7 linked regions of the Canis lupus familiaris genome follow. The protein of the gene in region 1 purifies or fractionates together with the protein of each later gene. This does not show direct contact. Links are inferred from orthologs where the notes say so. Each region holds a gene or a part of one and is shown on either strand. Other genes may lie near its edges. The genes, in order: DDX39B, RBM8A, MYO1B, WTAP, DBN1, LIMA1 and SRRT.

Region 1 (3,705 bases):
TTGGTGCCAAACCGGCCTGCTCGGGCCACCTGGAAGGAGACAGAGGATAGTCCTGGGAGATCCCGAAGTAGGAAGACATCCAAAAAGAAGGGAGAGGCTATCAGGTATGAAGATACAAAATCAGGGGGAGGGGACACTGGAATGCACGTGTGGGTGTGGAGCTTACCCGATGCAGGTAAGTGTCAGAATCCTCAGGCATGTCATAGTTGAAGGCAATGTTCACCCGCTCAATGTCCATGCCTCGGCCAAATAGGTTGGTAGCCACAAGAATTCGTCGTTGAAAATCTTTAAACTGCTGATACCGAGAAAGCCTTCGTGAGAAAGGAAATTAGAAAAATACTGAGTCCCTTCGCTTCAACGGTCTCTTTTCCTTCCCAAGGACACAAAACATCTTTCCATTTCTGACTTACCTCTCCTCCTGGGGCATCCCTCGGTGGATGGCAATGGCTGGGAAGTTCTGCTCTACCAGCAGCTGGGCGAGGGCAATGCAACGCTGCACAGACTTCACAAAGATCACCACCTGGGTGTGTGACAGTTGGGGGACATGGGTCCATGTGGGATAAGTGAGAGATTAAGTGTGAGAAGAGTTTTCAGTAACTACTCTTTTACTCTTCCTGAAACTTCTCCAATCCCCATTACATATTCCTCTTCTGTTCTAAATACAACTTAGCCTTTCTCACTCAGTTCTGATTTTTCCTGAGCAGACATGCTGAAGAGAAGATACAGAGAAAAGTAACTAAAACTACCAGATATGTTAGGGAGACAAGGATGAAGCTAATGGTAAAAATGAAAGTGGTAAAAATTTAAAGTGTGGAAAAAAAAAATTTAAAGTGTGGAGAGTAGTTTCTGCTCATCAAAAACATCAAACATATGCAATTTACCTTAATTTTAGAAAGTTTTTGGTGCAAACGAACCACAGCAGGTAAAGTATGGAACATTTCTTCTCAGTAAACAGTACAAGAAAAAACAAATTTTAAAAACCCAAGAAACCCAAGATATTTTGGAACTTTTACAAGTTTATGAAATCCTCTCAAGGATTTTGAGATTTTTCTTTACTCAATACCTGGCTGTGACAGCCAAAGAACAGAACAGCAGCTCCCATCTTGTTCACACTCAGCACCAAAGGCACTTAAATTCTCATTTAAAAGAATTTCATTTGAAGGTAATTTCCCCACTGTTCTCGCTCACATCACCTATGTCATATCCTCAACAAAAAGGTACTTAACCAGGTTTCTGCTACAGTTGGAGACGTGCTCATCCCCCTACTGGACTTTGAACAACTGACCTGATTGAACTCAAGGACATCGAGAAGGTCAAAGAGCTTCCGGTTCTTCTCGTTGTCCTTCAGTTTCACGTAGTACTGCTGCAACCCATGCAGCGTCAGCTTCGTCTCATCATCCACGAAGATCTCCATTGGCTGGGGGAGGGAGGGGGGAGTAGGGGGGGAACGGGAGGAGGGCAGAGTGGGGGGGTTAAACCTGGGGGGGTGGAGGAACTTGATCTCCAAAACACCCCATTGGGGGATGGGAAAAGAGAAGACTGAAAACCCCACCACACCCCCAAAAATATCCTCATTTTAATGTGGTCTCTTCCACGTTAGCTCTAATTTCCTTCCTAGCAGTTGTTTTAAGATTGCCCAAGTATCACGGGAAGGTAACCTGGCAAGGAGTTTGAAAAGGAGCAGTGAGACCACCCAATGGCAAGATGCCATGACCTCAAAAGGAGGTAGCAGAGGAAAGAAAACAATGGGAGAGGATCCCCAAAGGGAAAATGTAATCCAAACACCTGGGAATTGGTGGACATGGTGACTCGAGGTCAGGAATTCCACCACTATTGGTTGTAAAAATAGAGGGGAAGACAGGGATTGCTTCATTTGAGTATTCTCCCAACTAAGAGAATCAGGGGGCACCTGGGTGGCTCAATCGGTTAGGCGTCTGCCTTCGGCTCAGGTCATAATCTCAGGGTCCTAGGATCAAGCTCCGAGTCAGGCTCCCTCCTCAGTGGGGATCTGCTTCTCCCTCTCCCTCTGCTCCTCCACCTGCTTGTGCTTGCTCTCTCTCAAATCAATACATAAAATATTAAGGAAAAAACCAAACAACTAAGAGAATCAGATCCACATCAGGAGGGTGGATTATCTGTCAAGATCAGAATGCTAAAATGAACATAGTCAAAAATACCATGAAAAGTTACTCAGGATGAGTAATAACTCGCCCTCAGACCACAAGGGAATAGTTCAGATGGCACTGGTCTCTGAACTAGGAGTCAAATCAACTAGTGTTACATGGACAGTACCAATAAATGGTGTTAAGAAACAAATTCAGAGCAGCAGATATACAACCATCTTGTAATATATATATGTATATATATATATATATACACACACATATATATGTATATATGTATATACACACACATACACACACGCACGCACACATAAAACCCTTTAAGGGGAGGAAGATAGCAAAAAAAAAACAAACTGACACAAGACTCAACTCCTGAGTCCAAGTTTCCTAGCACTCTTCACTAACCTGGGGACATAATTAACATGAACACCCAGGGCCCAAGGTTTCAGGAAAGGATGAGTGGCACGGGAGAGAACCAGAAGCCCAATCCCAGAAAGCAGGCTTGCAAAAGCAGGCTTTTCAAAATGAAGCTTCATGGCCTCCTTCAAATCTAGCCCCAAGTATAACTAAAGGTAACTGACATCCCACGGGAAGGAGCAGTACAGGATAAGAAAGAATACACTGCACTGTTTATACAATAGGGCCCGTCTAGTGCCAAACCCTAACACCCACCTGGTTACATCCAAGTGGAGCTCCTCACATTACTTTTCCCATATCCCTCTCCTTGGAGTATTAAAAAATTGTTTTAAAAAAGAAAAAAAACTACCCCCCGTTTCAGGACACCCCTCCCCCCAACACATATGGGGAAAAACAGGGAGCACGGCACGCCTTGGATTCAGGAAAAAAACCGGGAACAGAAAAAGAGGCTGGTTTGGTCCTCAGCTTCCTGGTCAGGTTTCCCCGCGGCCTCCGCTGCCGCCATCCACCGCTGGGTGCCGTCTGCATTTCCCCCGCCGTTCCATGGTGCTTCTCCGCTGCCGGCTCACATCAGCCGAGATTCCGGATGGGTGCGAGGAGGTATGGACGGAAGGAGTAAGGGATCGGGGACTGAGGTGCCAAAGGCCCCCACCCCTGGAGGTGGGGAGGGAGCGGATTCATTTGTGCTGTTTGCTCTTCTTTTGGACATGCCCTGCCATCTGTCTGTCCCTCTCTTGCTCTCCTGCCACCGGGGGGTTGAGTTTTGGGGAGCAGAAGGCTCCAACTGTCTGCTCCATGCCACCTTGAGGGTGCGTGGCTGTAAAGGGGTATGTAGGAGACGATGGGTGGGTAGTAGGGCAGAAAATCCTGCCCTCCCCCAAAAAGGAAGAAGAGGTTCAAAAATGCTGTGATGAAAAAAAAAAAAAAAAAAAGGTCGAACACTACCCGCTCTCAAGTTAACCCGACCAAGTCTTCCGGAGTTTCCCTGGCACCCGCGCAGACCCTAACACTAGCTGTCTCTGCCTCTGTGTGTCTCTTCAAGGAGTCATCACTCCCAGATGGGCACGTGCCCCCTTCTTGGCATTTGAAGGACAAGGGAGTCTGGAGGAAGAGGGCGCAGAAGGGGAGGAGGCAGTGGGCGGGGAGTGGAGGGAGAGAAGGTAGA
Region 2 (4,169 bases), on another chromosome or scaffold:
GTAGTGTGTCTGGTCTCCAGACAAGGAAGGGGAACTATGGTGAGACTACAATCCTTGGGCCCCAATCCATACCCTAAAAACTACTGCTTCTAGCCTGACAGCTATCAAACCAAAAATGGTATCATAACCATACCCCAGTACCTGATGCTGCCAGTATTTTCTAAATGCCTTCAATTCTAACCAGCCTCTAGCCACCCTCTGAAGCTGAGTTAGCTGGGCAAGGATTAAGGAGAAAGGTGATTAGTATTCTGCTTTAGTCTTAGACACCATCAAGTCTTCAAGTAGACTTAGTAGCTTCATAGAACACCACACCTCAATCAAAACCTCTTCTCCAGCATGTCTGTCATAATCCCTGAGGCGGGGGGGAGAGCATATATTCCCAGTTGGGGAAGAAGAGGATTTGCAGCATTACCACCTATTTGTCATATCCTCTTCCCTGTATCAGGAGAGCTCCAGCTCATCATCTCTGCCTATTCATCTGTTCACCCTACACTCAATTCAGAAACTGAGTGATTCTGAATTTGAGTATGTTTTCTAAAATCCCAGCCCCTGCCAGTGAATTTGCCCTCCGCCGCTCCTTAGACAACCGCTCCTGTGTACGTCTGCAGGCCCTGCGACTGGCCCTGCTGGTCTTGCTGACCTTCGTCTTCTGCCGGACACCTTATTACCTACTGGGCCTGTGGTACTGGTTCTCTCCCACCATGCTAAATGAAGTCCCCCCCCAGCCTCAGCCTCAGCCACATCCTTTTCCTTTTCGGCCTTCTCAATGCTCCTCTGTATCCTCTCTTCTATGGGGCCTTTACCCTTGGCTGTCAAAGAAGGCACCAAGAACTCAGTATAGACTCTTCTAAGGAAAAAAGATTCTGAGAGAATGCCCTGACAGGAAATGCAAACCCTTAGACAGCTGGAAGTACAAACAAATGTGGCAACAGAAAGGACAGGAGAAACAAGAGACATTCCTATAACATCCATTTGCTCAGACAGAGTATACAGGAACAAAGTAACTAAGCTTTTATAACACCTCACTTCTACCCCTGCTCTCTTAGCTTCTAAGAAAAAGAAATACTTTGACTCTGAGACTTGAGATATCTAATGTAGAAATTCACACAGAATTGAGTCCTTAGAAGTATCCTCATAGTGACCCATACTACCTTACTGTAAATAATGCTTCAGAGCTTGCAATGTTAGAAAAGGAAAGTAATTTTAAATGTACAAAACAAAAAATGGGACATTTATTCATAATTCAAAAAAAAAAACCCCACTAAGTAGGATAAGAGATTAAATATAAACAGTGAGTTCCACCTCAGCCCTATTTCTCCAAGGCTGCATGGTCAAAGAGAATCTCTGGAGAGAACATCTGGACAACAGAGGACCTGTCAGCGCCGCCTCCTGTCTGGACTCCTGCTGCGTCTTCGGCCACCTCTAGGGAAAAGGAAGGGTCCATCAGGAACATAATACAATGTCCTTATTCTGTTCTGCTCATGTTCCCTTCACCAAGATAGTTTGCCCTCTCCACTTTACCTCCTCTTGCCCTTTGGCGGACCCCGAACAAAACACCAGTCCACACTGATCGGCTGTCCCATCAAATCCTGGCCATTGAGTCCCTCCATAGCAGCCTGGGCTTCCTTGTATGTTTCATACTCAACTAAAGTATATCCCTGGGATAAGTGAAAAGACAGATCAAAACCCTCATATTCCAAACACTACTGAGCATCTTCTTCCTCAGATCTAAACTCATACTCAAATAGAAATATCTATAGACTTTATACAACAGATGTACATCATATATCCTTACTGTGTATATATTCAAAATATGTTTCCATCTCTTTGCTGTGTCTGACAAAATCAATTTTCTTTTTTTTTTTTTTTTTTTTTTTCAAAATCAATTTTCAATCTCATTTATTTCAACTTTGCTCTTTGGCCAATCAGAGAAAACATGGGAGAACTACCAAAGCTGTCTAAAGGTTGTGAGGGAAGAGAGGCAACAACAGTAGGATACCTTCAAGTATCCTGTACGCCTGTCCAGGTTGAGGTGGATATTTTTTATCTCCCCATATTCTGCAAATTTGTCATGGATGTCTTCTTCGGTGGCTTCCTCATGGACTCCAGTGACAAAGAGAATCCAGCCTTCAACAGCTGTTGGGGAAGGGAAGGAGGTTTGTGCACAAAAGAAAAACTTCAAGCAAGATCACAAGAGTGGATTAAGGTATCTCCGACCCCACTCCTACTGGGTTTTATTTCATAGGTCCATAATACACTAGTGTCCATCTCACTTACAGCGTTGCGGTCCGGGTTCATCTCCATCCTGCTCCACACTGTCATAATCCTCACGCATCCGCGCTCGAGACCCTTCTTCTATATGGAACATACAAGAGATCACCAGAAATCTCTTCTACCACTGTTCCCCATGAGTGTGAATGGGGACTCCAAAACTCGTAGCTGTCGCCATTCTACACCATTTTCCCCACAAACACTCACCGGAGCCAAAGCCGCGGCCCTTCCGTTTCTTTGCCTTTTCTTTCAATTTGTGGATGCTCTCTGGATCCCCAGAAGTGAAAGAATGAATAACAAAAATAACAGGTATTTACAACAATAGTCTCTTTACGGAGGCATTATCTGAAAGCAGCCCCACCACCTCCAGTCCCATTTCCCTCCCGGTCCCGCCCCCATTCCTCCCGAAGGGGGCGCAGTCTCTAATCCAATCGAAACTCAGTTCTACTCCCAGCCGCCCTGCCGGGAAGGGCAATTATTTTCCTATTACTCCCTTCTTTCGCACCTTCCCGGCTTCCCGCAGCTGCCTCCACTGTCCTCACCGTCCCCATCTTCATCCATGGCAAAATCCTCGCCCCCAGCCTCATGAAGGTCCAGCACGTCCGCCATCTTGCCTGCCTTCTTACTCTCGTCGGTGCCGCTCAGGCACTAGGCACCTCGGGAAACTGTCGCGGAGGGGAAAGGTCACTAGTCAAGCTGACCAATCAGAAGCTAAATCTAAGTCCCGCCCCCGGCGCGGTGAAAATACGCAAAAGAAGGCGGGCCTAGTTCCGGAAGATGTCGGAAGTGCTCCTGTAGCCATCTTGAGCAGGTGGCGAGCTGAATGGAGTGGTGCTCTAAGGGACAAGCTAGTGGGTAGGTGCAGGCAGCGGCTTCCTATTAATTAGGGCAACCAAGGAGAAATACTGTAGTCAGCGAAGCACAGCCCAGTTTCTCTATTAGAGGATTGTTTTCTGTCTCCTTGGACTCCATAGGAAATGGAAGTTGAATTTTTTTTCTCTCTCAAAACTTCTAGACCCGTAACCTGTTTTGAGGAGCAGCTAGCTGGGTCTGTGATGGAAACATTTTTAAAATAGTTCATTCAGCAATGCTAGCTCAAAAAGCCGAGTCTGGCTCGTACTGCAGCGGCGAATTTCTCTTAAGGAAGCTAATCTTGTGAATTAGGATTGCTGAGACGGCTATCGGCTGCCTTTTTTTTTTTTTTAAGATTTATTTATTTATTTTATGATAGACATAGAGAGAGGGGCAGAGACACAGGAGGAGGGAGAAGCAGGCTCCGTGCCTGGAGCCCGACGCGAGTCTCGATCCCAGGACCAAAGGCAGGCGCCAAATCGCTGAGCCACCCAGGGATCCTACCCCTCCCCCCCCCCGCTTTTTTTTTAAAGATAAACTCTCAAACTCTTCCCACCACCTCCAGGAATTTAAAAGAAAAAAAAAAATTAATGGCTTTCAACAAAATGGGGACTTTCAACAAAATGGGGACTCCGGCTTCTTTGGGAATGGTGTAGGTATTTCGTGTTTCAAGACCCATATTGCCCGCAAAGTTCGGAATCCTGATGTAGGCCTTCAGCAATAGTGGACTGCAGGTTTTCATATTATTTTTTTAAATTTTTTATTTATTTTTAATTATTTATGATAGTCACACAGAGAGAGAGAGACAGAGACACAGGCAGAGGGAGAAGCAGGCTCCATGCACTGGGAGCCCGACGTGGGACTCGATCCCGGGTCTCCAGGATCGCGCCCTGGGCCAAAGGCAGGCGCCAAACCGCTGCGCCACCCAGGGATCCCCTTCATATTATTTTTTAATCGAACAGTTATAATGTGTGTACCTAGTATTAGAGAAGGTGCTGGCAGTAGAGGAAAAATAATTACATTATCAACAATTACTTTATATAATT
Region 3 (3,705 bases), on another chromosome or scaffold:
GTGGACACATATGTAAAACTTCAACAAGTTGTACCATTAAGATTCACACACTTTACTATATTGTATATATACTGTGTACCTCAATGAAACTATTAAAAACACTACTGTCTCCCTAAAACCCTGTAAATCCCTCCTTTTTAGCAGAGCATGTTGCTGCCCTAAGAAAGACTACATTTCACAGCCTCCTTGGCAAGTAGGTGTGGCCATGTGATCAAAAGTCTGGCCACTAGGATCACAGGAGAACTAATATAGGACACTAATGAGTGTGTCCCTAAAAGGAAAGGACTTGCACGCCCCTTGTTCTTCTCCTGCTAACGGCTGGCTGAGAAGCCATCTTTGACAATACGGAGGAGGGAAACACCCTGGGAACCACAGAGCCACAAAATAGAAGATGTTGGATCAGCCCTGAAGCCCTTATACTCAGTGGTTACCTAAGAAATAAATAACAGTCTTGTTTAAGTCATTGTCATGTCTGGATCTTAAGGACGTGATCTCCGTATCTTAATACACTATTCAGCATTTATGGTTGTATCTGCCTACCTACACATGCGAAATAAATTCTGCACACATTATATAATATGTGAACAACTAAATCTTACCTAGTTTGACTTTGATATTTTTATGCTTCTCCTTATACATTTATAAAAATAATGTCCACCCTTTGGCTTAAAAATAGACAACCAGATCAGTGGAACAGAATAGTGAGTTTAGACCTAGACTCTTATATAGGTTTTCGATTGATTTTTCAATAAAGGCATCAAGTAATTTTTTTCTTTTCAATATATGGTGCTAGAGCAACACGGTAGCTATATTGACCTTAATATGAAATCTGAAACTACATAAAAGACTCTAGAAAAAAATATAATATATTCACAAGCTTATAGTTTATTAAGACTTCTTAGAGGTACATTAAGGCCACTAAAAGGGAAAGGGGAAAAAAGGGGCAAAAAATAAAAAATAAAAAAAATAAAAGGGGGATGAAGGAACATTCTGGGGTGATAGAATGTTCCATATGTTGACCAAGGTGGTGGTTGACAAAGTATATACAATGGTGAAAAAAATAACTGAGCTATTCACCTAGGATCTGTGTATATCACTTCATGTAAATTATTATTAAATAATAATTTTTAAAAATCCACTTAGTTGAGAATAACAAAAGCAACTGACACAGAAAGTTTCCTGTTTTTTGAAATTAGGATCTTTACCTACAATATGTTTCAACCTGATTATGTCAAACCAGGGGATTCTGACTCTACTTATTATTAATATAAATATTAGGTATACAAACCAACACAAAAATGTTCTTCACTCCAGGTTCCTCACAACTGCATTTTTAAAAACAGTTATGGGAAGGGATGTGTGGGCGTGTGTACGCTACACGAAAACTGACCTGTTAGGCACACATCTCCCATTATCTAACTCACCGAATACACACATTGAAAACTCTAATCCTAATTGGCCTTCACTGAATCTTGAGATCTAAGGTGTCCTGGAAACAGGAAAAAGAAAAAGACCAGATGCTCCTTAAGGAATTCTTTCTGTTGCTTTGAAAAATTTAGGATTGTTCTGGGAACAAAATCTCCAAATCTATAAGTCTCATAGGAAAGAAAGACATACTTTCGAACACCAAATTTGTAACTAAAGCCCAACTTGCTTTAATGCTGTGCTGTAAGTTAATGTAACAAGAATCCAAAGTGAATCCAATACAAGAGTTTTAAGCAAAACCTTTACCAGAAAAAAAGCTTACATTTCTAAAATGTCATGAAACCAAAAAAAGATATAAAAAGTGAAAAGTGAAAAACCTTATGTGCCAACAATGCAATTTCATTAAGTATCTATTCCTATCCCCTACCACGCTTTTTCTGCCCCCCCCCCCCACCCCACACTTTTTAAGTCTTTGCTTGAAGGAGTAGAAGGGTTACTGGAGTGATTTTTAAGCAAACCCAAGATACCACATTACTTGAAGGGCAAGAACTTCAGTTATCCTCTGGGGGGATGGTATTCGGATTTAAGCAAACAGGAAAATGATCTTCCTTGAAAGTGCCTTCCTAAGGAACCTGTCAAAGAGTTTCATGTGCAGAGATACCTAATGTAGTTCGGATTCTTGGTCTGGAGGTTTTTCATCAGTGTGGCCACAGACGCCTTGAACTGTGAGCCTGCTGTAGGAGGCCTTTTCAGGTTGATCTTGGCTGGGTTCCCTTCAGGGAACAAAGACTTGATGAGGGTGTGGCTGGCCTTCCACATGGCTTGGGACAGGTCTCGGTAGAGAAGATCATTGTTCTTGTCAACAAATCCTTCTACCTGGTACAGCACCTATGAGCAGTACAAGAAATTCAACTGCTGATTACTGCACTCCAGGATGTCACACAACTGTTAAAAATATTCCAAGACTATCTATAATGCAGCCTCTTCTTTCTCCATCGAAAACCCTCAGGCACATTAGTCACACTCCTAATACCGAATTAGCCTCCAAGTTTAAATTCCATCTGTCTAAATCACAGAAGAGTTCAAAATAAATTCTATTACGCTTCAGGATTTGCAAGAATAAACTCCAAAAATGCTATCATAACATTTTCAAAGGATTTTAGGCTTTTTTGGTGTTTGAGCACATTTTTGAGGTTTTACTTTTCCTCCTCCTCTTTTTTTTTTTTTAGTTCACATGTGCCAATTCTAGTCTGTTTGAAAATAGACAGGAGAAAACAGAGATAAAAACCCTGGTGTTTTCAGACAGCCTAAGTGTGCAGGGAAATTAACCAGAAAAGTATCTTTTAATAACACAAGCTAACAAACAAAAAATGAAGTACCAAGTTCCAACTTTTTAAAATTAACAGTAAATCGGATACTACATACTTAATTTTTACTAAATATATAATTACAAATGTTTTCCTCTTTGAAGCCTGCAACCTCATGTAGAAGGAGGTATTAACATCCATATTCTTTCAGGACTCTAAAAATTAAGCTACTGTCAAAATTGGTTTTTAACATTATATATCTTAGATGGCATAAAACTAATTCTCTCAAATATTAGGTAAAGGAGTAAGCACTTTTTTTCAAAAAAGTAGCTATTTTCCCACTGTTGTTTCAAAATCTCAATCTAGGAATTCATTATTTTTGCTAAATGATCTCTGGTTGTCAGACCTCACTATCAGTCTTTAGTGACACCTAATTTTTACTAGCAAACCTTTTATTCATGTTGACAGATCTATTTTTATAGGATAACTTCTAGCTTGGAAACAATACAACCGATTTTTAAAATATACTCGAGCTCTTTCATTAAGTTCACTGGCTTTCCTTTCAGCTCTGTTAAGATTGTGTTCAACTGACATGATCCAGATTTTTTTTTTTAAGATTTTATTTATTTATTCATGAGAGACACACAGAGAGAGAGAAGCAGAGACACAGGCAGGGGGAGAAGCAGGCTCCAAGCAGGGAGCCCGATGCGGGACTCAATCCCGGGACCCCGGGGTCACGCCCTGGGACGAAGGCAGGCGCTCAACCACTGAGCCCCCCAGGCATCCCATGATCCAGATTCTACTTCTATTGAACATTTACTGATTCTACGAGTTTGGCAACTCATCTTCCCAAGCTGGCGCTGGTCAGAAGGCCCCCTCTGAGGCCTGGGCTCCTCGCGGGAACAACTGCAGGCCCACTGGGTGCTGGAGCCTCCTCCCCATACCTTGCCAGCATAGTGCTGAATTCTGAAGC
Region 4 (3,705 bases), on another chromosome or scaffold:
GGGAATTTTTCGGAGGTGGCCACTTCTTCGGAATAGTCCGACGCCATCAGGCCTCTGAAGCAAGGGGAGGGGGAAGAAAAAAAAGCTGAAACACAAGGTTCATCTGGTAAGTTTTACATTAACCATTACAAGCTGGATAGTATAAGAATGTGGCTTTTTTTGGCTCAAAAAGTCTGAGTCTTGGTGTGGAAACGAGTACTTGGCTGTCCCACCACAGCTTTCTCGTAGTGGGACTGTCAGGGAAGTCTTGACTGGGGAGTATGATTTGTTTACCTATCAGGCGTAAACTTCCAGGCACTCAGTTCATTTTGGGCTTGTTCCAGTTTGTCTTTAGTCTGTTCCAGTTCACCTTTCATTTTTAGGAAAAACAAGTTGATCGCTGGGTCTACCATTGTTGATCTCAGTTGGGCAACGCTAGGCTGCTGGACTTGCTTGAGGTACTGGATTTGAGTCTGTACAAAGCAAAACAAACAATTACTACCAAATCGAAGAAAACAGTCATAGGAATATGGGATAAAGTCCCTTTTGTTCATAGAATTTATCAACTTGTCCTTCCCCCTTTGACCTTAACATCCTCTAGAAAAAGTACAAATTATAAACAACTATTTAAGGTAATCCATGTAGGAATTAAAGCTTTGATTGCATTTCCATATCTGGAATCCTTAAAAAGGCTACATCCTACTTTGCAACCAAAATGATACTTAAAAAAAAAAAAAAAATCAGTGCTATATTTACTAAGAATTTTGACACCCACTAGAAAAAAGCCATGTGTCAAATATTACATAAGAGTATAGTGAGGGGAACCTGGGTGGCGCAGTTGGTTAAGCATCTGACTCTTGGTTTCGGCTAAGAATGATCTCAGGGTCATAAAATGAGCCCACGGGAAGTTTCTCTCTTCCTCTGCCCCACCCCACTGTGTACTCACGCTCTCTCAAATAAATAAATCTTTTTTTTCAAATAAATAAATCTTAAAAAAAAAAAGTACAGTGGTTCACACTTTCCAATTTGTATCTATGGAAATTATTCTCTATATAAGTCTACTAAAAATAAACCAAGTACAAGATTATAACTTAAATTACTTATCTGTATTTCCAAATTTAAAAATATATAGTGCTTATATTTACATGAGTTGGCATTACAGCTTCATAAATAGCACCTTAAGCCAAAAAATATATTTCTACCTTGAGTAGATTTGAATGACAAAATTGTATAGGTAGAAGGTGACTGACCACATCCAAACTCCTTATTTTTGAAATTAAATAAGCTAACTATCCAAAGATACAGTTGGCTCACTGCCAAAACTGACACTAGAATCTAGCTCTTAATAAGCCTCCTGACTCCCAGTCTAGGGCTTTTTCCACCACACCAGAACCCCTCTACTTACATATGAAACCTTCAATTTCGACTTCAGTTGTACTATTTACTAGCACACTAAAAATACATTTCTAAAATATGAAATACAGTTTATTAGAATTAAATGCATTACTTTCTTCACACCCAAAGTAGATTTGATTCAAAATCCTGCTGCACACTACAGCTTAAATAGGACTAAAGTTAACAACCAACTGCTCATTTGTATCATAAATTTAGTAAAAAATGTAAATATCTGGATTGACAATACATTTACTATTTCACCGAGCAAACAGAAGTAATTTATTTAGTTTAAGGAGATTTTTTAAAGTAATTCATTTTAAACAAAAAAGTATAACTGTTTATTCAATATAAGACCAGTTGCTAGAATAACTGAACAAGGATAAAGCATGTCATATAGTATATACCACATCCTGTGATCCCTAAAGAAAACATGCCTTTCCAACAGCGACATAGTTACTATTTAGGTTTACAAAGTAAACTGCTCTCATCTGCACATATAATCTTGCACTTTCTTTGTATTGTTGCTCTTGCTGCACTTTCTGCAAAACCTTACTCTGTAACTGAAAATGAGTTGTTCAGCTGACCTATGCAGGGGAAAGCTGCAAAAAAAGAAAAAAAAAAAAAAGAAAAAGAAAAAGACTGGAGGGGTGCCTGGGTGGCTCAGTTGGTTAAGCATCTGCCTTCGGTTCAGGTCATGATCCTAGGGTCCTGGGATGGAGCCCAGGGTCAGGCTCCTTGGTCAGCAGAGAAGTCTGCTTCTCTTTCTCCCTCTGTGTATGCTCTTTCTCTATCAAATAAATAAAATCTTTGAAAAAAAAATATGACTGGAAGTGGCTAGGTTTTAGTTGAAACAGCCTTTGAAACCTGGGACACAAAGACAAAAGGGTGATAAAGCATCACACCAAAGTCTCTGATCAGGCATGATATGGATCAAAACTACCAGTGTATATATAAAATAGAAATGAGTCAACAGTATATATATATTGTCCAGGTAAGTGTAAAAAGTACAATTATGTGTTATATGAAAGGAGCGCTCCCCTCATCAAGGATGGAAGAGGCCCTCAAGTCCTGATGACAGACATACGGTTATGGCACTGCCACCTACCGCATGGCTTCTAAGCACTGTTTAAAAAAAAAAAAAAAAGTACATGAAATAGGATAGCAATGGCAATGGTAGGACGCACGAAGAAAAAATTCAAGACATAATGGTATAGTAAGATATTACTGTTGGCACCGTCCATTCACACTCTACTAACAGCACTTTGAAGATAAGAGTCATCCTTTGCATGTGACAAACATCTTACAGAGTGCCATTTAAGTACAAACCTAAAACTAGGTACAATCTAGAATCCTTAATATCAGAAAAAGGAAAAAAGAATTAAAGAGTTTTGAGAATGGGTACTTTAGAGACATAGTGCCCACTCCATTAAATATGAAAATCTAAGGAGAAAAATTTTCTGAAGGGATGGGGTGGGTGTTATAATTAAAAGAAAATTATATTCAAACTACTGGAAAGACTTCTTGGAACCATGTGTCCAAATAAAATAACCAAAGGCTGGGGTGGTCAAGAGTTGAAATTACAGAAAGAGAAGGTGTGGGATTATTAAGAAAAGAAATTTTAAGAAATAACAGTACTGTGATTGAGCCTTAAAAATGTTTTGGTGAGAAAACAATTAGGAATAGGACTGCACCCGATAGAAGAGTCTCCAATGACCAGAATATTGCCTTCTACATTAGATTTAATAAACAATGTTATCAAATCAATGGAGATTACACAAAAGAATTCAAGAAGATTTCAGATTTTCAGGGCATCTGGCTGGCTCAATGAGAAGAGCAAGCAATTCAATATCAGGGTTGTTAGGGATCCCTGGGTGGCTCAGCGGTTTAGCGCCTGCCTTTGGCCCAGGGCGTGATCCTGGAGCCCCGGGATCGAGTACCATGTCGGGCTCCCTGCATGGAGCCTGTTTCTCCCTCTGCCTGTGTCTCTGACCTCTCTCTGTGTCTCATGAACAAATAAATAAAATCTTTAAGAAAAAAAATATATAGGGATTCCTGGGTGGCTCAGCAGTTTGGCGTCCGCCTTTGGCCCAGGGCATGATCCTGGAGTCCCAGGATCAAGTCCCACATCGGGCTCTCTGCATGGAGCCTGCTTCTCCCTCTGCCTGTGTCTCTGCCTCTCTCTGTGTGTGCCTCTCATAAATGGATAAATAAAATCTTAAAAAAAAAAAAATATATATATACACACACACACACACACACACACACACATTGGGATTGTGAATTTGAACCCCATGTTGGATATAGAGATTACTTTATATTTTAAAAAAAAAT
Region 5 (4,276 bases), on another chromosome or scaffold:
GCCCTGACTGAAATCCTTCAGGGACCCAATGCCAGCTTCCCAGGAAGCCCTGTCCTAAGTTGCACCTCCTTAGAGCACTTACCATACCCCATAAGGGATGGCAAGAAGCCTCTAAGCCTATCCTAGATCTCATTAGACCTGTACTTCTCAAACACATCAGAGACAGCCAGGCCTGAAAGGGTGGAAGCTGTTGAAACCACAGGTATCAGGATGGGGTCCCAGGGATCTACATGTCTCTTCAGCTTCAACCCCTGGAAACAGACAACGCCTCTAACTGTAAGCTGTGTGAAACGGAGACATCCAATTCAATCAACATGCATCACTCACTGGGTCCCGGGTCCAGCACAGGGCAGAACCAGTAGGTATCTGTGATATTGACACAAACTCTGAGAAGCCACCGAGGCCAGAGACACTGGACTAGGGTGAGGTGGGCCTGGGATGTGCCACTCCAGGGAGATCCCATGTTCGGTTGAGGTGGGGACCAAAGGCAGATGGAGGAGCCCTCAGTCCAATTCCACTCTCAGGATGCTGGAGCTGGAAGGTGCCTTGGGGGTCCCAGATATGGTGGAGTCCCATCCCCTCCTTCTCTTTTCAAGAGGACCAGAGAGGAGCAGACACTTGTGTGTAGTTAACACAGTGAGTAGTGTCCTATCCAGGGCAACAGTCCGTTTCAAAGGCTCTGCCACATAGGAGCAATATCCCCCTCAGAGGTAAGTGAAGGCAGTACCATGCCTCTTGACCAAGACAGCAATTGTACCCAAGATCCACTCCTCTGGCCTCTGAGTACAGGGTCTGCCCCCAAGTCCTGAGACTCCACTATACTCCTGGTTCTGTACTGGGACTGGGGGCACTCATGCCCTACTCTGCAGGATGTGTTCTTCACATCCTCTTTACAAAACGCTATCTAGGCCCTTGGGAGTTAGCAAATGTCTGTATGTACGAGGGTGCATGTGTACATGTGTGTCCCACACACAACCCAGATGGGGGTGACGCATGCCAATGATGAATAACTTGCTTTGGCCACATGGATGCTGCTGAGTGGTGGGAGCCCAGGCCTCTGCTAAACAGAATGTGGTCCAGCAGCGGTTGTGTACCCCTGTGCTGGACTGCCAGAACCTTGCTTTTGGGAGGTTAGAGGGAAACGGGGTGGTGGTATATAATAACCAGCAGACCAGAGGACGAGTAGGGTGTTCTAAGGCAGGGCTGTGCCTCTGCAGGCAAGGCCCATATCCTAAGCCTAGTTCCTCCACCAGGCCAAGCGGGCCACTTGCCCTGAACTCCTCCCATGATCTCAGCCCCCATGGGGCAGGGCTGGGACAATGGGTGGGCCTCCTGCCGGCTCAGCCTGTGCTGGCCTCTCCTGTGACTGACCTGCAGGACTTGAGGGCTTTCTCCCTCATCCATCCCTCCAGGCCTGGCTGCCCGCCAGTGCTGCAGTACCATGGCATGGACGCCTGGCCATCTTGCCCCTCCTCCAGCCCCCGGGTCAGTGTCCCTACCTAACTGCCCTCCTAGGATGAGGGTGAGGCCAGCCCACGTGAGGGCCCTCAGACCTAGCCTCACTCTGTGCCTCAGTTTCCTTCCTGCTAGGAAAAGACCAGGCCTAGAGAACAGAATGGGCACCTGTCCCAGGAGAGAGTATTTTGGAGGAAGGGGATTCCTGAATGGGGCAGTGTGGGACCCCTTTGCTTTCCTGCCACCCAGGGGTCTCCAGCCAGAGAGAGCAGGTGGTCCATCCCGTCTCAAGCTCAGGGCAAGACAACAGCCAGGAAAGGGAGAGAAGGTAGCTCAGCTTATCTGCCACGAGGAAGCTGACCACTGAGCCTGAGGCTTCGGGGCTCAATGGATGTACTCACTCTCTCCTTCCTGTTTGGGCGCTCCCTCCACACTTGTGTGCCTGGGAGCCTCCTCTCAGGGACCCCAGCTGGCCACCTGGCCAGGCAGCTCCCGGCCCCACTGCCTAGTCCCCGCAGTCCCCTCCGGATCGGGGAGAGGAGGTCTCAGCTCGGCCTTCTCCGCGACCCCTGAGGGGAACAGGAGTCGCTCGGCGGCGGCTAGGTGGCGAGGAACACGGCCCCCTCGCACCCCGGCTCCCAGAGGCCCCCGGTGGGCGGGGCGCCCCGGCCCCGGCCCCGGCCCCGGCCCCGGCCCGCCCCGCCCCTCCCCCGCCCTAGCTCTCCTTTGTGCTGCGGCCGGGCCGGGCCGGGCCGGGCGGGCTGCGCTGGCTCCGCTGGCTGGTTCCCCGCCTCGTCCCCGCCCGGCCCGCTCCCGCCCGAAGGTGGCGAAGGTGCCCTTGGCCGCCCCGTGCACACCTGTCCCCGGGGCCCGGGGCGGCAGGGCGAGGGCGGGGGATGGGCTCCCGCAGGGCGAGCGGCCCCGGGCCCCGCATCTGGACCCCGCGCCTCCCCGGAGCGTCCGGCCACCGCCGCGGCGCGAGGCCGGGGCCGCCTGCGGGCGCCCGGGGCCGGCAGCGCCCGCCCGGCCCGGCCCCTCCCCCGGCGCGCGCCGAGGCAGCCCCTCCCGAGCCCCCCGGGCCGCTGCACCATTGCGGGGCCCCCTCCCCTCGCGGCTGCGGGGCGGCGGAGCCGGGCGGAAACAAAGGCGGCGGCGGCGGCGGCGGGGACAAAGGGGCCGCGGGCGGGGGCGGGGCGGGGGCTCACCAGTCGGCCGCGCTCTCCTCCCGGATCACCTCCTCGTACGCCGCCAGCAGCTCCAGGCGGTGGCCGCTGAAGCTGACGCCGGCCATGCTGCTGGCCGGACTGAGGCCGAGCGGACGGACGCGCGGAGCACGGACCGACGGCCAGAGCAGGAGGCGAGGAAAGAGGGAGCCGCCGCCGCCGCCGCCGCGAAGCCTCTGCAGCGCCGCGAGCCCAGCGAGCCGCGGCCGGGGGAGGGGAGCGGCCGGCGGGGGGCGGGGGGCGCAGGCTCCGCCCGGCTCGCTCCCTCCGCGCGCCCGGTCCTAGCGCCGCCCGGCGGGCCCAGGGGGAGGCCGCCCCCCTTCCCGGCCTGCCCCGGGCGCCCCCAGCCCCGCGCCCCGCGCCCCGCGCCCCGCGCCCGCCCGCGCTCTGCGCTCCCGCACCCCGGCCGCGTCTCGCCCGCGTCCCCAGCCTCGCGCACGGTGTCCGCAGCGTGGGCGCTCACCCTTTCCCCCAGCCCCATACCCAGCAGCGGCACCACCTCGCGGGGTTCCCGTCTGCGGCCACCACCCAGGCCCGGCTTCCCCCCTCTCCTTTCCAGCTCCTAGTCCCAGGCCCAAATCCTCTTCGCTCCGGTTGGCACAGCTCTACCCCGTGCTTAATTTCTCTCCGTCCCAGCCTTAGCCCCATCCCCCTGCCATCCCAAACCAGGTTAAACCCATCTCCATTCCAACCCTCAACCCCAGCCCAACTGGACCAGCCACCTTGGCCCGTATGCAGCCCATACCCACCTCTGAAAGGTCCACTCCTAGGCCACCCCCATCACTATTCACTGCCATCTGTGTCCCTACCCCACATCCAACCCATTTCTTTCCCAGCCTACTTCCCAACCACGCCCTCAGTGCGCACCTCCACACATTCACAATAACCACCTTCGCTAGCAGCACCCTCGTCAGTCCAGCCTACCTTATTCCCGTTGGGATCCCAGTTCCCAACCACACCCCTCCATCCCTGCCTCCTTGATTGTGCTCAGCCCCAACTTAGCTCAGTACTCCAGGATTCCCAACTTCTTTCCCATCCCTGACCCACCTCTCTCCAGAGCACTCTCTCAGTTCCTGGCTGCCCCCAAGGGCTGTCTCTGATGGGTCCAGCCTCCAATTCCTTTGCCTTCTCTCCCAAGCCTCAGGCCTCACAGAGGAATCCCAAGTACAGTTCCAGAAGCAGCATCTAACCCCAGACTCCCAGGGCAGGGTTCCAAGTACAGAAGTCCCCTACAAGGGAGTGGGCACCACTGCCAGGGCCTCATGGAACATCGCCACTCCTTGCTGAGGTGGGACCCTGAAACTCTCCCCAGCTTGAAGAAGCCTTTTCCACCTCCTACACAGCCTCCCACCCCCATCTTCTTGGGGGAGGTGACAGAATCAAGCAAGCTTTACTTGGTCCAGTCTGGGAGATGGAAAAGGAGGTGGCCCCCAGTTGGGCCTCTGAGTTCTGAGATGGGTAATCAGTTACACCAAGAGGAGAAGGAGAGCAGTGTGCATTGATTAGCAGTGAGTCCCAGTGCTTTCAAGTAGGAATAACCTCTTCAAACCCCTTAAATTTCACAGACACCTCCCTCGGGTACTCTGCACCTACTATGC
Region 6 (3,705 bases), on another chromosome or scaffold:
ATGACATCAGCCGTCCTGCCCCTAACAGGGTCTCTGAGGAGGAGGCTTACAATGGTGCTTTGAGTCACAACAAAACCCCTTCCTCTCTATTTAGGATTTCTGACATTTTCCCCCTTCCACTTAAAATTCTTCCTATTTAAATTAAAAAAAAAAAAAGAAAAAAGAAAAAGAAAACTAAAAAATTTTTTTGTTTTATTAAGACTCTAAAGGAGAAAGGAATTGGCAGGCCCAGAGGGCTAAAAATTGAGAGGGATGAGAGTTTAAGAAAAGTCATAAAACTGCTTTGTGGTTACATCTCTTGCCAACTGGTTTCAGTGTTAAAATAGAGCTAAAACTCAGGCACAGGAAAGAGTTCTAGGCTTGCAGACCTTTAAAAATTCTTACTACATCCTCGAAATAGATGATCCTTTAAACACCCAAGAACTTTTTTCTAGGCAGGAAAGCAATAGGCACCGCAAGTGATGGGAGGAGATTAACTAAATCACGTCAGACTTAACCGATGATTATAAGACGAGTTATCGAATTTTTGTCTCAGAAAGAAGGTCTTATACCATTACTTCACACATGTAGGGATTTGGGCCAAATATTTAGCTTAAAAAATTTCAGCTTTCCCATCTAGATGGAATCGAGAGAAAATGATGGCTTTGCTTCCTGTCAGATCTGTTTATTTCATTATAATGACTGTTATAACAAACCATCCCCATGTACAAAGCCAGATATGCAGGAAAGTATGAGAAAACTGGAAAAATTTACCAGTTCAGCCATCCCTGGACTGTGTTATAAGTCACCAGCATATGTAACTCATTTTCTAGTTAAGTAATTCCCTCTGGGTACCCGGTCTGCAATCCACACGAAGGATCAAATTTCATTAGCAGTTGTAGGAAAATGCAACCCTGTGCATTTGCAAGTCAAAACTCCTGAAGGCTACAGCTAGTCTGGCTATCCTCATTGATTTTGCCTGGGAGAGGATTTTAGCTGATAGAAAACATTTGTTGGAAGGCACAGATGAGGAAGTTGAGAAGAGAAGGAGTCAGCTAGCATAGAGACAAGTAAGCCTCAGTCTTAATGTTAAACTCTGGCCTTAACACTCAGCCTGCAGCTGTGTCCAAGCAGAGAAAGATTCAGCAGTAATTCCACCCCCAAAGCTACAAATGACAAAAGGCACAGGAAGATAAATTAAAAGGGCAAGCGTACAAAAACACAAAATCCAATCGGCACCAAACTGCCTTCATTTCTAGATACTAACCTGAATCCCAGTATGTGCTTGATTTCACGGGAAACTGGGTCAGAGACCCGCAGATCTTAGCCTCCATGTAAATAACTCGAGACTGTTAGTTAATTCCTTGAAGTTTGAATCAAAAGACATACTGACCACCACTCAAACTGTCTAGATTAGAAAAAGAGCTTTGTTTCGTTACTTGAATTGGCTTTCTCAAGGTTTGAAACCGGCCCAGTCCTTACCTTGGTTTGAGTCGGTTCACCTTTCTCAAACATCATCTTAAGCCTGTTCAGCGGAACATTGTATTTCTCTATTTTGTTTGCGCCTTCTGTGTTTTCACTGATTTCAGGTTTTCCTACTTCATGCCTGGGTTCTCCTACACACGTTTCCATTTTTTTACTTTCTTTCGAGGGGTCTTTAAGATGCTCACTGCCCTCAGTGCGGGGATACGGACACTGAATTAGGGCTTCAGGAGGTGATCCGTGCCTAGGTCTGGGGTGGGCTCTTTCTTCCTGGTCAGCTTCGGCCTCAGAGGCAGAGCTTCTTGCCACTTCACCCGGAGGATGGTCGCCTCCGGGTCTGACCTCAGTGCTGCCGTTTCGCAGGGAGTCTGGGTGAGGCTCTGTTCCCAGTGCTGGGTTCTCCCACTTCTTCTTTAACACCGTCAGGATCCCCCTCCTGCAGTGCTGGGGGAGATTTTCAGTGTTCTAGAAGAACAAGAGGTAAGTGCCAGTTATAACTTGCCTGTTGAAACATTCAAACATGTTCTTTGCAAAATGAAAGTTAAAACTCTAAGCTGCTCCTGGTCCACTGGCGTTTCAGACAGCTGTGAATGGTTACAGCCCTGCCACATGGAGAAAGCATCCACCCCGGGAGAGGGAGAGGGGAAGAGAGAAAAAGTCAGGAGCTGAAGCAGGAAGTGATAAAACAGGATAGCCTTATAAGGACAAAATGAGAAGAAAGGAGAGCCCAGATCTAATGATAGTTACATGGGAGACAAGGGATTTTTTTTAATCCAAAGATTAATAAGGAAAACAAGAAAGAGAAAGCAAAATATTAGGTACTTGAAACACTGCAAATGTGCATTAACACAAATCACAAAATTATATGGCGAATCCTGTTTTTTTTTTTTCTTTTACATATGACAAAGATGAAGTATAGCTGAAACTATGCAATACCCTACTTGTGGGCAGTATCATCAAAGATTGAAACTATTTGTAGAACTTTAAAGAACTCACCAGATTTTTACGTGTATTTGCATCAATGATATTTCATCATATCTGACATAATCTACATGCATATGAAAAGTCAGTCAACTTTTATTTTTACATAAGAATCTAATCCTCTTTTCCCCTGCTCTTCTCTACACGTTTATCCATGTATAAATTCTCAGTTATCAGAAAATTTGCTATTTCACAGATCCTCTGGTAGAAAAATATCCAGGCTTCATATGAAAACACCATCACCCACCTTCTTGACTGAAGGACACACATTGACACATCTAAGGGAGTTCACTTTCACCTGGGTCAAAATGGAATTAATTTATACATATAAGATTGCAAACAACCTGGAAACTGCCACAATAACAGAGGAAACATGCTTGATGAACTAAATTCAGTGTCCCATACTCTGAAAGCATTCCTATAAATAAACTGAGCAGCACCACCTCCCAACAAACCACGAACTCCAATACCTTCGTACCCTCCGTTCCTGTGGTCTGTGACTCACGTCTTTCAACTAAGAAAGAAAGGACAAACCACCTAGGACTGAAAGACTTCCGGGAATTAAACGGGATTAGCAGCTATATTGGGAATTAAGTCTCTCACTCTATTACTCTCCTGAATACACTGTATGAGCTACTTCATCAAATAGCACCAACGTTGGAAAAAACGTACAGAGAACTACCGCTTAATTTTAGCGTTTAAATCTTTACTGAAAAGATAACTCATTGGTGTAAGCATAGAAGGATCAGAGATACAAGAAGCACAAAAAAGTTTTCTTGTTAGAAAAGCAAACTGCTCTGGACACTGGTGTTGCCTTATCACTGGCAGCATGTTTGCTGGATGCTACCTCCTGCCACACAGTGGATGAATCATCTGGGTCTCCAACTTCACCTGCCCTGCGCTAGCCCTGCCTACATAGGAGCCCTAAGTGGCATTTTGCCTTGGTAACTGGACGCTACTGGACGCTACTTTTCTCTGTTATCATGTGATAACATGTATATCATGTGATCCAAGTATATTTATTGACATGGAAAAATGCTTGTAAGATACTTTTGAGTGGAGAAAGCAAACTTTAAGATCACATAATCCCATTTTATAATACAACTGCATATTTATAAATATAAACGTAGAAAAGTACTCTGGAAGAAAAGACATCAGGATGTTAATAGGTTACCTCTGGATCATGGATTATGGGCATCTGTATTTCTTTTCTTTTTATAATAAATGTGTATTCATTATGTAATACAAATGAATAAAAAAACT
Region 7 (3,705 bases), on another chromosome or scaffold:
CAATGCTACAAGACATTGACAAGACCAGAGGTGCCTATCATAGACGATATGGTATTGGCTGCTTTTTAAAAAGTTCCATGGGAGTCACTGACTGTTGGCAGAGGAGGTGTCCCAGGCTCAGAGGCCCAGAGCTGGGTCCTGTCATCCAGCGTGTGGATCAGCTTGGCGGCCAGTTTGATGTCGTTGCGCACTATCTGCTTGTGCTGGGTGATGCCATTGATGTTGCGGACTCGACGGGTCAGGTCTCTGTTCACACCAGGGCTCAGCTCACACTCCCGGAGCTAGAGAGAACACAGAGCTCACCAAATGTGCCCGAGAAGCAGCAGCTCAAGGGACTAGCCCTAGTGACAAGACCAGTGACTAGAACATGAGCTCCCCAAGAACATGGACCAGGAGGGTCTTATCAGGGACAGCACCTAGGCCAGACACCAGTACACAGTTAATGTGAGCAGACTGAACAGATGGGTGGGAGCACAACAAATGAATCAAATAAGAATCGGGTGACGTACATTACAGAGAACCCAGTCCCAGCACTTACTCGGATATTCTGCAAGTTCCAACAGATCTCTTTGATGTTAACACTGCGGTCAAAGGTGACCCAGCCACGGCGGAAAAACCTACAGAAGAAACGGTCAGCATAACCCTGGGATACTGGCCATTAGCCTCCCCCTGTACCTATTTCCAAGGTATACAGGGTCACTCTCATCTCCATTCCTCACCTCCTCTCAGGCTGGGGCTCTGACAGTGCCACACGCATGAAGCCTGGGTATCTTTTACAAAGCTGGAAAAACAGAGGAACAGAAACCCCAATGAGTAATTCAGCGTTTCTCACTTCTTCCAATCCCTGTGTCCTAAGAACCCTGAGAAATGCCTGTGAATCTTTCAAGTAAGGAAAAACCAATAAAGGGCTTAATAATAAAAGCACTTGGGATGCCTGGGTGGCTCAGCAGTTGAGCACCTGCCTTTGGCTCAGCGTGTGATCCCAGGATCCGGGACTGAGTCCCATATTTGCCTCCTTGTGGGGAGCCTGCTTCTCGCTCTGCCTGTGTCTCTGCCTCTCTCTCTTTCTCATGAATAAATAAAATCTTTAAAAAAATAATAATCATAAAAGCACTTAAGGGACGCCTGTGTGACTCTGCAGTTGGGCATCTGCCTTCAGCTCAGGGTGTGATCCCGGGGTTCTGGGATCAAGTCCCACATCTGGCTCCCTGCAGGAAGCCTGCTTCTCCCTCTATCTTCTGCCTGTCTCTCATGAATAAATTTTTAAAGAGTAAAAGCACTTAGAAGCAAATGGTATAATCGAGGGCCAGCCCACAAAGGGCCCACGAGAAGAGGCTTCCCTGTTAGAGAAATGGGTATATGTTAGAAGCAGAACCATATTATCTTACCCCCGCCTCACCAGCTCCCCTTCCCTGCTACCAAATATGCCATTCCTGCAGCCAGTACCACTTTTTCCCACTCACAGAAATGATCTCGGCTCGAGAGATGTTGGGTGCGATGTTGCGCATAAAGAGGGAGCAAGTCTTATGGAGGGGCCGAGGTTTACATTCCAACCCAGGAGTGTCCTTAGGCTTCTCTCTGTCTTCTTCTTTGGGCTTCTCCTTTTCTTTTAGTGCCTCTTCTATGCAGGAAGTGTTGGAAGTTGGTGAATATTTATTGTTGATTTTGGAGGGAAAGAAAGAAGTGGTGCAACTCCCCCCCCACCCCCATGTCCCAAAGGCCGGCCCTTATCAATTTTGCCCACTCCCACCTCCCCTACCCCTATTCAATAGGAAGAGAATGAACTAAAAGAAGATAAAACCTACCAGACTCCTCCTTCTCTTCCTCAGCTTGGCCACTCTCTGACTCTGACTCGGACTCTGACACGCTGCCTTCATCAAAGCTGTCATCACCACTGTGCTTCCTGTTCCGCTTCTTGCTAGTCTGTGAGAGCCACAGCAAGAGGAGGGGAGTCAGATAACCAGGACCCCAGATCTGACAATGACCGCCTGGCAAGAGATACCCTACCTTTTTGGCATCTTTCTCAGAGTCATCTTTCTTCTCTTCCTTGTCCCCATCACCCTCAGATTTCTTAGTTTTGTCATCATTAGAACTGTCATTTTCAGCCTGCAGGTACAGACAATCCCGGGGATGTCCATCTCCCCTTCAACCTTTATCAGAGGGCCCCCTCCCTAGCCCTCCACCTCTCCTGGACCCAGCACACAACCCACCAGGCCCCCTGACCACTGAAGTTGCACCTTCCTCCTCCCTAGGAACTCAGAGGCAGCACCCAATGAGCCCAGCACTCTGACCTGTTTGCCGTCTTCTTTCTTGTCATCCTTATCATTGGCCTTGCGCTCTCCATCCCCCAGGCCTGGTCCAGCCCGGCCTTCCTCTTTCTTACTGGGCTCTCCAGGCTTTCCTGCCTGCTCCTCCTCCTCCTCCTGCTCCAGGATGCGCAGATCATTCTCTGTCCCTCCTTCCATCTTAATCACAGCTACCAACAAAGGGAGCAGAGGTCACAATCCTAGGGTCCTGGCCTTCAGCCTCTTGCTTATCAACTGACTTCTATTTCCAAACCAAGATCTTGGGTCACCAGACACCCTCTTCCCCTCCCAAATCCACATACCTGCATCCAGCATCTTGACGATGGCATCAGCTTTGTCTATGTCCAGGAGAAGATTATCAAACCAGCCACTCTCCATAAGGGACAGGAATACCCTCAGTCGGTTTTGCAGGGCCCCCCGGGCCTCCTGCCGACGCTTCCCCACCTCATCTGGGTGGTACTTAGACCGAAACCTGGGAAGGAAGTGGGGAGGGAAGAGACAAAATAGTCACTGGATGCCAGGGCCAGGACATGGGGAGGGGCCCAGGCAAGTCAGGGCTTAGCCCCCATCCTCTCACACCCACAAAAAACCATGAAAGCAGAAAGACTGGGGAGAAGGGTACACTAGAACCACCCAATACCCCCAAAAGGAACCAGAGGTTATGCTCTGAGAAGATTTGTGGGAGAGCCAGGAACTAAGAGCTCTGGATTTGGGAAAAGCCATGACTAAAGGGGAAGGCCAGGGTTAGAGAGGCAGAATGATTGCCCTGTGTCTCTGGGAAACACTAACTTAAAAAACTGTAGTTTCCCAAAGCTTCCAAGAGGAAGGCTAAGGAAATAGTAGATCCCAGAGAACCTCCCTCTCCTTGCCAACCCAAGAGCTAGTCATTAACAGGACTGCTCCCACCAACTCCCTCCATCCCTAGGTGGAAGACAGAGGGAAACCTGAAATGCACTGATAGGAAAAGCCAAAAAAGGCAGAAGTTTTCTCCCCCCTTGGGAAGAAAAGCAGATGGTGAAGGGACAGGGAAAGATCAAAGGGAGAAACTGAAGTGCCCTTATAACCTCAGGTACTGCCCACAGGGAGAGAGAGAGAGAAAGAGAGAGAGAGGGAGAGAGAGAGAGAGAGAGAGAAAAGAGGTGCAGGATTAGGGTGGAGCATGGAAAGGAAACATTTAAAATAGGACCTTGAGGGGGTAAAAACAAAAAAAATGAAGAGTATGAGAAAAACAGAAAGGGAAAGTGTGACAAAGTCCCAGAAATTGAAAACAAAGGGAAAAACTAAAGGCCAAAGAAAATGGGGGAAAAAAAAAAAAAAAAAGGAGGAAACAAGTGTTAGGCAAAGAGCAAGTACAGGGACCAAGAAAGAATGAAAGGTACATGAGAGAACGAGACCAAGA

What was found.
Region 2: the proteins of DDX39B (region 1) and RBM8A purify together in Homo sapiens (co-immunoprecipitation; 4 studies listed by BioGRID and IntAct, with this or other methods). This does not show direct contact. The link is inferred for Canis lupus familiaris from reciprocal best matches to the Homo sapiens genes DDX39B and RBM8A.
Region 3: the proteins of DDX39B (region 1) and MYO1B purify together in Homo sapiens (affinity purification with mass spectrometry, with the first as the bait; 3 studies listed by BioGRID). This does not show direct contact. The link is inferred for Canis lupus familiaris from reciprocal best matches to the Homo sapiens genes DDX39B and MYO1B.
Region 4: the proteins of DDX39B (region 1) and WTAP purify together in Homo sapiens (affinity purification with mass spectrometry; 3 studies listed by BioGRID and IntAct, with this or other methods). This does not show direct contact. The link is inferred for Canis lupus familiaris from reciprocal best matches to the Homo sapiens genes DDX39B and WTAP.
Region 5: the proteins of DDX39B (region 1) and DBN1 purify together in Homo sapiens (affinity purification with mass spectrometry, with the first as the bait; 3 studies listed by BioGRID). This does not show direct contact. The link is inferred for Canis lupus familiaris from reciprocal best matches to the Homo sapiens genes DDX39B and DBN1.
Region 6: the proteins of DDX39B (region 1) and LIMA1 purify together in Homo sapiens (affinity purification with mass spectrometry, with the first as the bait; 3 studies listed by BioGRID). This does not show direct contact. The link is inferred for Canis lupus familiaris from reciprocal best matches to the Homo sapiens genes DDX39B and LIMA1.
Region 7: the proteins of DDX39B (region 1) and SRRT purify together in Homo sapiens (affinity purification with mass spectrometry; 3 studies listed by BioGRID and IntAct, with this or other methods). This does not show direct contact. The link is inferred for Canis lupus familiaris from reciprocal best matches to the Homo sapiens genes DDX39B and SRRT.

What each region holds. Positions count from the first base shown.
Region 1 is NC_049233.1:1,171,665-1,175,369, forward strand, and holds part of DDX39B (spliceosome RNA helicase DDX39B), read right to left. Parts: intron 1,418-3,705; coding exon 1,286-1,417; intron 521-1,285; coding exon 411-520; intron 312-410; coding exon 167-311; intron 30-166; coding exon 1-29. UniProt on the Homo sapiens protein: Involved in nuclear export of spliced and unspliced mRNA. Component of the TREX complex which is thought to couple mRNA transcription, processing and nuclear export, and specifically associates with spliced mRNA and not with unspliced pre-mRNA.
Region 2 is NC_049238.1:59,380,245-59,384,413, forward strand, and holds the start of RBM8A (RNA-binding protein 8A), read right to left. Parts: upstream 2,943-4,169; 5' UTR 2,881-2,942; coding exon 2,814-2,880; intron 2,539-2,813; coding exon 2,479-2,538; intron 2,356-2,478; coding exon 2,278-2,355; intron 2,137-2,277; coding exon 2,000-2,136; intron 1,659-1,999; coding exon 1,522-1,658; intron 1,423-1,521; coding exon 1,377-1,422; 3' UTR 1-1,376.
Region 3 is NC_049258.1:1,781,655-1,785,359, reverse strand, and holds part of MYO1B (unconventional myosin-Ib), read right to left. Parts: coding exon 3,677-3,705; intron 2,314-3,676; coding exon 2,087-2,313; intron 1-2,086. UniProt on the Homo sapiens protein: Motor protein that may participate in process critical to neuronal development and function such as cell migration, neurite outgrowth and vesicular transport.
Region 4 is NC_049222.1:49,497,244-49,500,948, reverse strand, and holds part of WTAP (pre-mRNA-splicing regulator WTAP), read right to left. Parts: intron 2,506-3,705; exon of another isoform or gene 2,389-2,505; intron 453-2,388; coding exon 274-452; coding exon of another isoform or gene 270-273; exon of another isoform or gene 55-269; coding exon of another isoform or gene 1-54. UniProt on the Homo sapiens protein: Associated component of the WMM complex, a complex that mediates N6-methyladenosine (m6A) methylation of RNAs, a modification that plays a role in the efficiency of mRNA splicing and RNA processing.
Region 5 is NC_049225.1:36,784,448-36,788,723, reverse strand, and holds the start of DBN1 (drebrin), read right to left. Parts: upstream 2,875-4,276; 5' UTR 2,747-2,874; coding exon 2,661-2,746; intron 1,947-2,660; exon of another isoform or gene 1,857-1,946; intron 1-1,856. UniProt on the Homo sapiens protein: Actin cytoskeleton-organizing protein that plays a role in the formation of cell projections. Required for actin polymerization at immunological synapses (IS) and for the recruitment of the chemokine receptor CXCR4 to IS.
Region 6 is NC_049248.1:42,123,931-42,127,635, forward strand, and holds part of LIMA1 (LIM domain and actin-binding protein 1), read right to left. Parts: intron 1,927-3,705; coding exon 1,462-1,926; intron 1-1,461. UniProt on the Homo sapiens protein: Actin-binding protein involved in actin cytoskeleton regulation and dynamics. Increases the number and size of actin stress fibers and inhibits membrane ruffling. Inhibits actin filament depolymerization.
Region 7 is NC_049227.1:8,831,629-8,835,333, forward strand, and holds part of SRRT (serrate RNA effector molecule homolog), read right to left. Parts: intron 2,779-3,705; coding exon 2,609-2,778; intron 2,477-2,608; coding exon 2,292-2,476; intron 2,107-2,291; coding exon 2,008-2,106; intron 1,924-2,007; coding exon 1,806-1,923; intron 1,622-1,805; coding exon 1,464-1,621; intron 782-1,463; coding exon 720-781; intron 618-719; coding exon 539-617; intron 282-538; coding exon 93-281; intron 1-92. UniProt on the Homo sapiens protein: Acts as a mediator between the cap-binding complex (CBC) and the primary microRNAs (miRNAs) processing machinery during cell proliferation.